Linked DNA regions of Drosophila melanogaster. Changing the gene in region 1 together with any one later gene gives a genetic interaction. Each region holds a gene or a part of one and is shown on either strand. Other genes may lie near its edges. The genes, in order: HGTX and mid.

Region 1 (5,275 bases):
ATATGTATGTTCAAAATACTGTGTAGTGAATTGCATAATCATTTTAATAAGCCCACCCCATTAACTAATCCTCTCCAAAGTTTATTTCCCTTTCATGAGAATTTCGCGCAATTTGTTCTCAGCCAGCCAATTTTTCTGCCCACTCATGGCGAACTCAAACACACAATACGGAATTTGTTCGAATTAATTAAAGACCATTAAATAATTTGTCAAAGAATGAGTTACGTTTCTGGTGACCGAATCGTTTAAAGAAAAACCCAAATAAACGAATCAAATCACATAAACGCCCTCGTTAAAAATAATTAAAAATGTTATGGCAAATTGTCATCACCCTGTCAACCGCGCCCCCTCCTTTCAAACCACTGTCATGTCACACAATTGGTCTACATTTGAGTGAAAAAGTACAAAAAATGCGACGCAGAGTGGCTGAAAAACCAAATCATTTTAGTGAAACGACAGCGTCACAGATTCAGATCCCCTCCACCATTTATTTTCCATATAGACCACGTTTTTTGTGTGTCATTTTGATTTAATTACAAACAATTTGACAACTAATTGCTGCAAATTTTAACGTTAAAACGCGTATCTCATTACGTTATGTGGTAATTTTGCAATTGGATATTATAACCATTTTGGGTTTCGTAGAAAACGGTGTGCTCAATATCCAAAATTGCCCTGATTAGGTAAAGCGACCAGGGGGCGTAATGACAGGGGGGTTGTGGGCTGGGGAATGGCTTTTATTGAATCATGGAATCATATGGAATCATGCCAAACCGGATTCGTAAACAAAACAACAATTTTCGGTCGTTTTTGTTCGACGAGATTGCCTTTTTATTTTTCTGTTTGGTTTGCGAAACGAGTTTTTGAAGCATTTAAAATATATCTCTTTTTTTCTTTGGCTTTTTGAGTTCGGTGCATACAAAATATCTATTGATTCGTGTCTGATACATATGTACATATATACACATATTTCAGTGTTGCATAATGACTAGGTGCATTGAATTGGGAGAGACAATTGTAAATAAACAGGTAGCGTATTATTATTTCATTTTTATTATGCAATTAAGTTTAATAGTTATGCGTTCAAATTAGAGCAAAGTTCTTCAGCATTAAGCAACACATATAGCAACTTTTTGGAAAGCGCTTAAATTTAAATGGAATATTTTGATTTTTCCAAATTTAGATTTATGTCAATAAAATTGTAAAAACAAGAACCATTGTTTATGTATTTTATTTTATGCATTATTAAAATGTGTGTTTTAACAAACATCTTTAAGAAGTTCGAAATTTATTAAAAGTCCCCAAATCATGGCCTTATACACTTTCTTCCTTAATATAATTGGTATAAAATAACAGGGTATAATATATAATAAACCCAACCCATATTAAATCCATTCCTTTACTCACCTCCTGTTAAAGCACTTAGACCCGCCGATGTCACCGGCGGTGGTTTGGAGAGGATGGTATCGATGCCGTGCGGATTGGGTGCACCCTGGCTGTTGGTGTTCGTAGTCGTGGTGGAGGACGACGATGAGCTGCCACCGGATCCGCGATCACTGATCAAATGCGAATTCGGGCTGTGGCTATAGGACAAGCCATTTGCCGACGCCGACGATCCACCGACTCCTTGACCCTTCATTTCCGTGGTCATCGAGTGAAGAGCGGCCAGCGGGGGACCGAGAAAACTCAGTGGGAGCTTGTGGTCCATGTGGTTATTGTTGTTGTGACATCCGGGGTTTCCGGCATGGTTGGCATTGTGCAAAGCCAGTGGGTTCACTCCATGATGGTGCTGGAACTTTGCCCTCTGGCTGCTGAGATTCTCGGGACTGTAGTCGTTCTGGCCCTGCGGCGGTGGACTGGCGGATTCGCTGGTCTGGCATGGATCCTCCGCTCCGCTGCTCCTCTGGCTCAAGGCATACGACTTGGCACTGTCCACACCGGGACTGGAATTGTGTTCGTATCGCGGAGATGGCGAGGAGTCAGAATGGAGTCTAGAAGAGGCGGGTGGCGGTGTCGTCGATGGCGAGTCCGAATCCTTGAGACCTCCGCCATGTGCCGCCTTTAGCAACATTAGCGGACTGCTGTTGTTGTTGTTACTGCTATTATTGTTATTATTATTATTGTTGTTGGCATAAACGGCCGCTGCCGCCGCTGCACTGTGGTAATCGGCCAACTGTTGTTGATAGTCCGCCGCCGCCATCGCATGGGCATGGACATCCGCGAAGCCATTGCTCATGGCCGCCGCCAAATGATGACGTTGAGCCGCCGACGGGGGACTTCCCTGGGCGGCGGCCGCAAAACTATGATGGCGCATATACGGATTTATCAGATCCATCTCGGGCGCTTCGTGGCCGTAGTCCAGGCACTCCGGGTGCTGCTGCGGTGGTGCTCGGTAAAATGCCGGCGGAAGGGCCAAGTTAAAGGCGGAATTGGCGGACAGCTGGAAGCTCTGGGCCAGCTGCTTGGCCGCCACCTTGGCGTCTGGCGGTGGAGGCGTGGGCGAGGGATTGCTGCTGCCACCCGCCGGCGTAATGCTCAGGAATGGACTACCCAGCTTGGGATCGGTCTACGGATAGGTATTCACGCGGAGAAGATCGAATCTTAACGATTTAGGCTTTTCAGTTTGGTTATAAATAGTATTTAAGCAATAGCAGCTTTTTGTTCAAATATTTTTGATTAATTACTTCTATGTAATTAAGACCAAAAAAATTATTTAAGGGGATATCCTGCTTTATGCTTATAAAACTTATTGAGTTCCTTAATAATTTTTTGGAAATTTTGTTTAACTACGTATTTTGCTTGAATTGTTTTCAATTATAATGTCAGCACTTCAGTTTCCGATGTACGCAGTATTTATATTTATATAGGGTTTTTAATATTTTCCGATCACGATACGATTAAAACACGTAAATCTATATATTCAAGATCAAATGATCAAATGATCTTGAATCCTTTTTAGCACAAGCACGAAACCGATTTTGTCAAACGGTTGAGCACGAAAACGTTTATTGTTCAAATCGTTCTTAGATTTTAAGAAACTACACTTGGCATAATCGATTTGAACGAGATCAGGCTATATGGGTAACTCCGTGGCCGGAAAATATCGTAGTGAATGAAGACCCGCGCGTGTCCGCTTGTTTAGGCCTACGACTAACGAATGATTTCGAAATTGACTCGACTGGCCCTCAGTCGCACAATCTCAGTTTCAATTTCAGTTTCGGTTTTTGGTTGGGGGTACGGCTTTCAACCCTCCGCATTCCGATTCCACTTCCACTCGCAGCATCATCTCTAGAGCGCGCGAGGGAGAGAGTCGTATATGGTTGTCTTGCTCCCCCATATCGATGTGTCTCTTTCTCGCCCACAAGAGTGTTCCACAATCAGTGTAAACATGAAATGCAGACTGGAACGCAGTGGCATTGGCACAAAACGAATGGGAATTTTATTATGTACATCATTAAAATCAACTATTTCGGATTCGGATTGGAGCCTGGGACTGAAACGGGAACTTATCCTGGCACTCTTGGTGTGCTTTGTCTCGCTTGCACCACCATCTGTCCTTTTCTGGCCAACTGTTTCCTTGAGGCTGAGTGCATTTTCATGGCTTTTTCCCTGGGTCGCTGGATTGTGGGTGGCCTTTTTGTCGACTGCGAATTCCGTTTATTTGTTTAAAAAGCTATAAATATTGAGACGAAGCTGGCAGCTTTTTTCGTTGGACTTATTCATTTAAATAATTAAAAATTGCGCTGGCGATAAATGAGAGCTATAAATGTAAACGAGAAACTATAGGTTAAAGTAGAAGTATTTCAACACTTTTTTTAAATGTTTGTTTGTAATTAATTTAATACAAAATTCTGTACTTAAGTAATATAACATAAATATGTGAAATGTTATTAATTCGCGAACTGTAAAGAATATGCCTATATAGTTTTATTTTTTAATTACTCTATATTTTAAGGATTTTTTTTAACCATATACCAAAGACACCTTTTTCTAGATTATCTTATAAATTATTTTCAGAAATGTGAGTCCCAGCACAGCATACCAACATATATATGTATGTATCACGTTTTGTACCGCTCACACTTTCATCACCGAACTGAATTAATACGCTAATTAACATTTTAATATTATTATGTGCCCGTCGGTGGGCCGGAGGATTGTTAACCCACCGACGGCCAACGAATTATATTTATGTTTATCTATATAAAAATACCGCTGTTGCTGGTGTTACACACACACACACATACTCTGACAGGCAGACGGGTGGTCCACATACAAATACAAAAATGCGCTTCATTTAATAATAAACTACACACAATTTTAATTTACTCAGACAAAACGGTGAGATCTCATAGGAATGAAATGGGATGTGGAATAGAGGGCAAGGCCACGCCCACTAAAATGAGAAAGGGAGAGAGAACTTGGACCGCCATTGTGAATGAATGTGAGTGAAAGTATGAAGGAGCGAATTCACTCAACCGTTGAGTGAGTATCTCTATCTTTTGCTGGTCATTTCCACCACAGCTTGTTGATTTTCGACTGTGTTCTTTATTTAATTGACTTTGCCGACCCATAAAAATGAAGACCTTAAATACTCCTGGAAGCCTTACCCATCCATTCGTCTCTCCTTTCGTAGTTCGTCTAAGCAGCCCTCATCTTTTGCTTTGATCTGAAACAATTCCCCATAAATTTATGCGTGGCAGAAAACATGTCATAGAATTTTCTTTCATCGTAGTTAACAGATCTTTAACGAAAAATATTGAAAAATTTACACTTTAAATTTTAAGGTTGCCTGTAAGCATTCAGCTTTAATATAAAAACTATTGAATTTGTTTAAAAACGAAAAAGTTAATTGTAAGATTTATATTATCAATATAAGTCGTTTGTCACTACATTTTTTTTAAGACAACTTTAAATACAAGAAAAACATAATAATACATACCCTTAAGAAAAAAAATAATATTTTATAAATTCATAACTAAATCCATCAAGTCTTTTTTACAGTATATTTACAGTGTTCATAAATTTCGGCCCCACAAAAAATCTAACAAGACACTAAAAACTTGGTTAAAGATAACAAAACTACACAAGCCCTAACTGTGATTGATTTATTGTTTTATTGTGCTAAAAAAGAGAAAATGAAAGAACTGAGATGGAAGCTGAGGAGCAAATTTAAAATTTACAATACCGATAAGCAGAGAATTGAAAACACTATTAAATGCCTACAGTTGGTCTCAAACTCGGTTCACATCTTTTGAGCAAGGCTGCGCTGGGT
Region 2 (8,019 bases), on another chromosome or scaffold:
ATTCAAACAGGATTTCTGGCTACTTTGCATGCCTGCGAACTGAAGTGTTTGTCAGGGCATTATAATGCGTAATTTATGTGGAGTATTTCTTATAGAGGGAAAGTAATTTGAGTCTCGAAGATACTCGAGACGTGGGGAAAATTGTTGAAAAATTATTATAATTATTTACCAAAAGCTTATAATGCTTTTTAAAACGAAAACTGAAACGTTTCAGATCTATCTGTTCAAATATCGAATAAAAATTCCAATTAAAAAAACGTTGCTAGTTTTGGTTCACATATTTTTATTTATTTTTGATTGGTTTTTGTATGTTTGTGTTTTTTTTTCTTCATATTTTTCGTTTAATAATTTTTGTTTAAATATTTTTCGTGTTTTCACTTTTTTTAGCGTTCACATTGAATACATATTATGGTTTTACTCTCCTTTAATTTATGCTAAATAAATCTTTACGTTTTCGCCGGATAAATATAACTAACTGAAGCGTCTATGAATTTACTGTTAATACTATGAATATATCATTATATATAATAGCATTACTAACGATTTATGCTTACACTACATAGCTATATATAGTTTACAATCGTGCAGCGTTTTATTTATGTATATGTATATTTTTTTGTTTTGCTTAGTTTTTGAGTGAATTTCGTTCTAACTTTACACTGAGATGAGTTTTCGAACAACATTTAAACATTTGTACAATAAGTTAAACTAGATTACAAAAATTGTCTAGGGGAAAGTGAGAAGAACTGTACAGCTTATACATAATTTAAGATTTTTACAACAAATAGAGAAAAGTTTTTCTTTGCCTTCATATAAACAACAAATAATTTACAACATTCAAAAAGATGGCTAACCTTTTTTGTGTAGTTTTCACTGGGCTTAAAGGTCGTCTAAATTGAAAAATAAAGCTAAAGTTTAAGCAATTTCATTGACTGAAAAGAAACTCAGCAGTAATATTTGCCAGAAACGATCTTTTTTATAAGAAATCATATCGGAAAGCAAAATATTGTATTAAAAACTTTTTGACGATTTTTTTTTTACGTTTTTTTTTAAAGTATTTTCTTAGTATTCCAGGAACTTTTTTGCATTTAAGAGACGACCTTTAACCCCAGTGCTTTCACTTTTTAATACTGCTCGTGGCAAGAACTTGGTGGCGTGGGCTGTTAACTTAGTGGGCGGGGCTGCGTGAGGCGTTTACCGCGGGTGGCGAACCGGCGGCAGAGGAGGGTGGCCCCTGACCGCCTGGCAGTTGGTACGGACTGAACCGCTGATACTGGCGCGGTCGCATATCGGGCGACGGCGATCCCGACGACGTCGACGAGGGCGTGGATGCAGTGGGCGGGGGTGGGGGCGTCCGGTTGGCGGCCATCGCTGCGGCTGCCGCCTGCGCCTGCGCTTGGGCCTGAGCGGCGGCTTGAGCGGCGGCAGCTTGCTGATTGGCGCTGGCCAAAAAGCCGGCGGTAAGTTGGGGCCACTGCTGCTGGAACATGTGGAAGGCGCCCAGGCCGGGGGGTGGCGGAGGTGGTCCGGCTGCCGCTGCTGCCGCTTGGTACATTTGCGGCATCATCAGCTGGGCATAGGGGGAGTTGCCGCCAAACATTTGCAGATGCTGGCGTGCCTTCTCGAACAGCGCCATCGAGGAGGGATCACCCTGAGCGGCAAACTGTTGCATCAGCGGATCGGGAAAGAGGCGCAGTGGCGAGCGGAGCTGCTGCTCCAGGAGCAGCGCCTCCATCGGATCGCGATCGAAGTCGGTGAGGCGGGAGGAGTCGCGGAAGCCCTTGGCGAACGGATTCGAATCGATCTTCAGCTTGGTGATCAGCTGATTCTGATAGGCCGTCACCGCGGTGAATACGGTTTCCGGGAATACGTAGGTCTTGTGATCCAAGTCCTGCAATTCCTTGGGATTCGACGGAATGCTCTGTCCATGGCTCAAACGCACCAAATGAATTCTGGGCTGGTAGCGATGCATCGAGTTCAAAACGATCTGGAAGGGAATAGAAAAGAGGGAAAAGGTTTCATTGTAGTAAGTCGATTGAAATTTACATAGCTGGGAATTAGGAAAGTGCTTAAATGATTGAAAGTTATCTTTAATATTCTTTAAAACTTTTCATAAATTAGATAGAAGTATATTGTCCTAAAATTCACTTCTTGAATTGAACACGAACATTTTCCATTTTCACAGCAAAGCAACATTAATCAACGATGGTCTCTAGACTCGCAACTTGGCGAATATTTCTTCGTGTTGCAAAATTATCAATTATTTAGCACTCGCGGCTAATCGCTACCTCAGCATCTGAATGTCTCAGCAGCCGAGTATCTGCGCATCTGAGTATCTCAGTACCACAGCGTCTCGGTATCTCAAGTCAACTCACCTGTCCGTTCTTATCCATTTCGTTATTAGTCAGCTTCACCTTCTCGAAGGAGATAACTTGTTTGCGGAGCGCCTCGCAGCTGAAGGGACTGTCAGGATGGGCGTAGAGGCGTGCTGGGGGGGCGGGGTCGGCCTTGCCGGCCACCAGCCATGCGGAGCGATGGTAGGCGTACCGATACCGCTTCGAGTCCATGGGGATGATGTCCATGAGGACGGCGTAGCGATCGGCGGGCTGGATTTGCCTCAGCGGACCCGAGAAACTGACGCGCACAGTGGGGAACATGCGTCTGGAAGAGGTAACAAAGTTAAATTAATTCGATTAGATTTTTGCTTTCATTGAATGCTCCCTTTTTTTGGGGATTGCTATTGCCACACAGCTAGTTAAGTCGACTATTTATGGCCCAGACACTGGGGCTTCAAGCTGATTTTTTCCCATATTTTCCTTTTCGATTCTCCCTGCTTTGACAAGTGCAGACAATGAAGACAAAAGCGAAACTCTTCCTTCATTTTTTGAGTCACAAACCTGTGTATCCCTCTTGTCTACATCCTGTGGTTTAATGTCCCTCCAAAACCCGGTGACATAACCTCCGGCCAAAAAGGCCAAAGGCGGGCATCGGGGACCGCCCTGATGTCTGCGACTCCGAGGTGTGATTTTTACAATATCATTAAGGTGTATATATATCTATCTATATGTGTGACCTGTGTGCGTGTGGTCAGGTGTGTGGGAGCAAAGGTGTGGACAACCCGTGGTCATTTGGATTGAACTTGTTCCCATTCTCCCGCTGACAACAGCAACGCCCATAGCTCTGATTTTCTCATTTTCTTCCTGCGCAGGTACACAAATGTTTCCTTTTTTTTTGCACAGTTTCCCTTTTGGAGGAAATAGACCCCACACATTCACTCAAATGGCATGAAATTTTTGTTGACACTGCAAAAACCATTTGGCGAGCCAATTTATGGGCAACTGACTTAGGGTGAACATCTTTGATGATTGAACACGCAGACACTTGATTGTTCAATAAAGAAGTTTTGCGGAAAAGTGATGAATGCAAAATATTTTGTGAAAAGAGTATATGTTTGGGTAATGCCATTTGGCAGCAACTTTTACCTCCCAAAATCTCCCACGTTGCTCCACCATTTAAAACTAATGCCTGTTTGCACTAAACTCGACTGACTGACTGATGGTTGGATGGATGGCTGGATGGATGGATGGCTTGTTGCTGGTTTGGATGCTTACCTGCCCGTTTTGGTGATGATCATCTCGGTGCCGAGATCGTGAAAGCGATCCCACAGCTCTTTGGTCTCCAGATGGCACTGCACCGGCTTCAGATCGTCGCAATTGCAGGAGCCGACAATTTTGGGTGCCTTCTGCACCGGTTCCGGTGTTAAACGCTCCTCGCTGTCCTCCGTTCCCGGGGATTGGGGCGGTGTGGAGCAGCGTCCTTGGCTGCTGGTCGAGCTGGTGTTCAGTTGGGATTCGGCGGAAGCTGTTTGTGCCACGGCGCCACCGCTGTTGCGACTCTTGTGTGCCACATTGTTGTTGTTGTTGTTATTGTTGTTATTGTGGTGGTGCTGGTGATGCTGGTGGTGCTGATGATGGTTCAAACGACGCGCCTTAGTCGGTGGCTCCTCGGCATCGCTGCAGTCGACCACATCAACGTCAACCTCATCCTCCACCGAAATGGGACCTTAAATGACACGAGAGGAAAAAGCGAAAATTGAAAATTAAATCTGAATTACACCGTTCGTTTTGGAGGTAATGCAAATTAAAATGCAATGCACATGGGAAAAAGCGTTAAGTAAAATCTCTAAATTGAAGCCTTCAATATATTTGGCACTAAACACTTTAAAGATCACAATGTTTCCTGAATTTTTCATCACTTTTTCCTTCATAACTTGTGCGTCTTATTAACGATTTTTCCGTTGTGCATTTGGCCAAAAACCGAGGCCGTGCTTCCGTTGACAACATTGAGTGGTGGAGCTGATTTCGCGGCAGACAGCGTGGAGTCGTCTCATATTCTTGGAGTTTCCGCTTCGCTTCGCGTTTCAATTGCAATGAGACAGTGCGACGACGACCGCTGGCTTAATTGTCAAACTGAACACAAATCGGCAATTAAACAGCCCGAAACTCTAGCTGCGATTGCTCTTTTCCATTGCATAAACAAAAGCGGAGGGCTTTCGTTCAAGGTGTGTGCGCAAAAGTTGATGAATAATATTTTTGGGCTTATCCATGGGCGAACTCTCACATACGCTTTCCATTTTCCATAAGCCGAAAATGGTAACAAAATGATGGGGAGAACTAAGCAGCCCGGTTTTTTTGCAGGTGAGCCCAGACGGTAGGTGTTAAAATGCAAAGTAAGCAAACGGAAAACGGAAAGCGACCACAGAAAACAAAAAAAACAAAACAAAATATGAAATTAAAAAAGCTGCATATTTGATAAAGAGATCGTAAAATACGAACACCTCGTAGCGTTTTTGTTTTGATTTCGGCCGTCGCTAATTTTCTGCGCCTCGTAAAATTAATAAAATGAAGCACATTGTTGAAAATTAATTAACATAATTAGCAGCCTTTGTTAAATATGAATTCCGCGCGATTAGATGCTGTGCACAATTTGCATATTATCATAATATCGGCCACAAAAGAGCGCTGCAAGTGTTTGCTAACAAATATCTGGATTCGCGATCTTTGGCTCGACTTAATTGCGAATGCCGTCGGCCAGAGAGAACTAGTTTTTTCTTTTTTAACGTGGCCGGAACGCCTGCTAATTGTCATTAGCAATTAAATGGAACTCTGCGCACCCAAAGCGACAACAGTAATTTAATAGATTTGTTGTGCAATCAATTAGCGATTGTCTTGTGGCTAATAATGTTTGCATTCGCTGGTCAAGTTTGCGGTTCTCTTCTTGGGCGTTGAGTTGTTAATCACGTTTAATTTGAATTAATCGTATAAAAATTCCATTTTTGTTTTAGCAATTTCTAGTTATTGTGTGCTGGTATGTTAAGTAAGTTTTTGTACAGAAAGCACTGCTAGGAGATAAGTGAATATCTAAAGTTACAACTACCTACTATGATTAAAGATTGTTGAATTAGGGAACTTATAGCTTGTCAAATGAAGTTCTAAACAAAAGTACCCTATGGTATTTGAGACTACAGAAATGAAAGTATCTTAAAGATATTCTACATCTCATCAATGAATCTTGCTGTAAGTCTGTTAAGCCTAAAAAAATCTTGTTTAAAAATCACTATATAATCGAAATGCTTAATATTCAAGGCATTAAATTTCTAATGCATAAAAATATATTTTTAAGAACAAATTGTTCCTATCAACCGATTAATGATTCTGCCGCTTCCCACAGAATTCCTTTCTTATTAAGGATATTTTCAATATGTATCTGAACTTACTTGCACTGCGAATGGAGGACTCCCGACTGGAGGCATCTTCGCGAGCCATGATGGCGGCGATGGAAAAGTCCGTCGCTGAGCCGGCGGCACTTTTGCTAGCCGTTGTTGTTGTCTGTCCACTGGCATTTGGTGCTGCAGGGGCGGCGGGCACCCCGTTGCACAAATACGGATGAGATCCAACCAGCATTTTGAAGGGTATGATGTTGTTCTTAATGGGGCTTTAACTAGGGAATACCTTGGAAAGGTATTGGGGTATTGTATCTGGTCACTTTTCAACACTTGGCACTTATAAAGCTAGATGCATCTTTAGCTTTGGTAACTCGAGGGGTATGTGTATGTTTCAAGGTGTAAGTATCTTGTATCTTTATATCTCTCTTGCTTTCTTTTGCTTATCTTTGGCGCACGCGAACTGAGAATCTCGCGGACTGAGTGTGTGCGCAACGGAAGGCAGGCGACGACGAACTGAATTGTGTCAGGAAAATGTTGCCGCTGAGAAGCCAAAAACGACGGCAGGCGCAAAACTCGGGAAACCAGTTATTCCTCTTATGGTCCCTATGTGTGCAAGCGAGACCACCCTACAGCGAGCCGCGCCAGTACGAGTGCAAGCGGGATAGCCCTATAGCCGCACACTCTGAGTGAAAACGCCACTCGCTCTCTCGTTTTCCAATTGGAAAATCGGCGGGGGAGTGAACGTGCGACAGAGAGAAAGGCGGCGCTGTCAGCAACTTGCGCCCCTCTCTTTTCTTCGCCTCACCTCTCTCTCTGACGAACGCGTCATAACTCATTTACAATTAAAAATGTCGGCGCTTTTGGCCTTCTCCCTCGCACCTCTCTATTTCTCCATAGCGAGGTCTCTTTCTTTTTATTTTTGCCTCTCTTTCTCGCCCATTTATGAAGTGCCAACGTTTTGCTTGCGGTTTTTCTTGGTCTTTTTTTTTAAACAACTTTTCGCCGTTGTCGTCGCATTCCATTTCCTGTTATCTCCTCTTCTGACGTTTTCTTCCATCTTCCGTCTGTTCCATTTCGTTTCCAACACGTTCCGTGTCTCACTCAATTCTGTTTTGAGTGAGTTTTATGTCTCTGTTTTTTTTCTGCAGTTGCATCCCGTTGTTTTTCCTTTCTTATTTATCTGCAAGGACATGGACCTTGAGTCAAGGTTATTGCAATGGGACGTTGGGAATTTATTAGTTTGAGCTCGAGAAATTTTTCTGTGCTCTAAAAACATGAATAAAGAGTGCGAAAATAACTACAAGTTTATTTAAAATGTATATGCAATTTGAATTTATTTCGGTAAAGGGAAGAACATATTTTAAACAATTCGCTTAGTACATATTATAGAAGTCCATTTGAAAACATAGTATATCTATAAGCATTAGTCAAGACATTTTTATTTGTAAAGCTATATTTTTTTATATTCAAGAGGATATGATCATGAAATTTAGATTATGGCGATTCAAAAAGTTAACAGGGATATTTTTCCGTTAGTAATTATATACAATTCCACACGCTGTATGATAGAAGCTAGTCCTCTGGAAAATTCCCCCATAATATTTACAGATGTCAACAAATTGTTATGTTTCCCAGGCAAAAGTCAAGACCTTTGTCAGTGCCAATTAACCCGCTAAAAAATGCAAAGAAAATGCGGCTGCGACAAGGAAACTCGAAACAACTGACAGTTCGTCACATTCATTACGTATTGCTCGGATTGCCAATTGCCATGACGGAAATCCTGCGATCCTGAAAAACGGAACGCGGAGATCCAAACTAACTAACAAGCTGACTAATCCCGCTTATCCTGTGCGAGGAACAAACCGTCTTGTTGTGTGATTTTTGTAATTTGAGACATTTTTTAAGTCGGGTAGCGACAAAGTGGGCATGTCACTTTGACACTTTCGCCCTGGGAGAAATGGTGAAAGTGGACGGGGAGGGATGCGTCGTGTGTGTTCTGGTTACAATTGCAGTTAAGTTGATAGCTATAAAATGTTTTATCAGCATTAACAAATTCAAAAGCAAAACGGACGATAGCATTATAGATTGGGATAACTTTAAATACAATTTTATGACACAAGAACGCTGGTTCTAAAAAGTAGAGTGCATACTTTGATTCTAGAAAAAGGTTTACACTTCCTTTCATAAAAAGAGCCTATGTTCCTAATATGTTGGCCTTGTCTGTGCATCTACATGTGTGTCTTTTTAGGTGGCAGTCCCGTATGTCACCAAAATGTCAAAAGCCAAGGAAAACA

What was found.
Region 2: of HGTX (region 1) and mid, changing one enhances a phenotype caused by changing the other (phenotypic enhancement), as found in Drosophila melanogaster (one study listed by BioGRID).

The regions. Positions count from the first base shown.
Region 1 is NT_037436.4:14,596,379-14,601,653, forward strand, and holds the start of HGTX (HGTX), read right to left. Parts: upstream 3,163-5,275; 5' UTR 2,558-3,162; coding exon of another isoform or gene 2,336-2,557; coding exon 1,408-2,335; intron 1-1,407.
Region 2 is NT_033779.5:5,459,862-5,467,880, reverse strand, and holds mid (midline), read right to left. Parts: upstream 6,243-8,019; 5' UTR 5,964-6,242; coding exon 5,777-5,963; intron 4,063-5,776; coding exon 3,612-4,062; intron 2,662-3,611; coding exon 2,376-2,661; intron 1,988-2,375; coding exon 1,169-1,987; 3' UTR 271-1,168; downstream 1-270.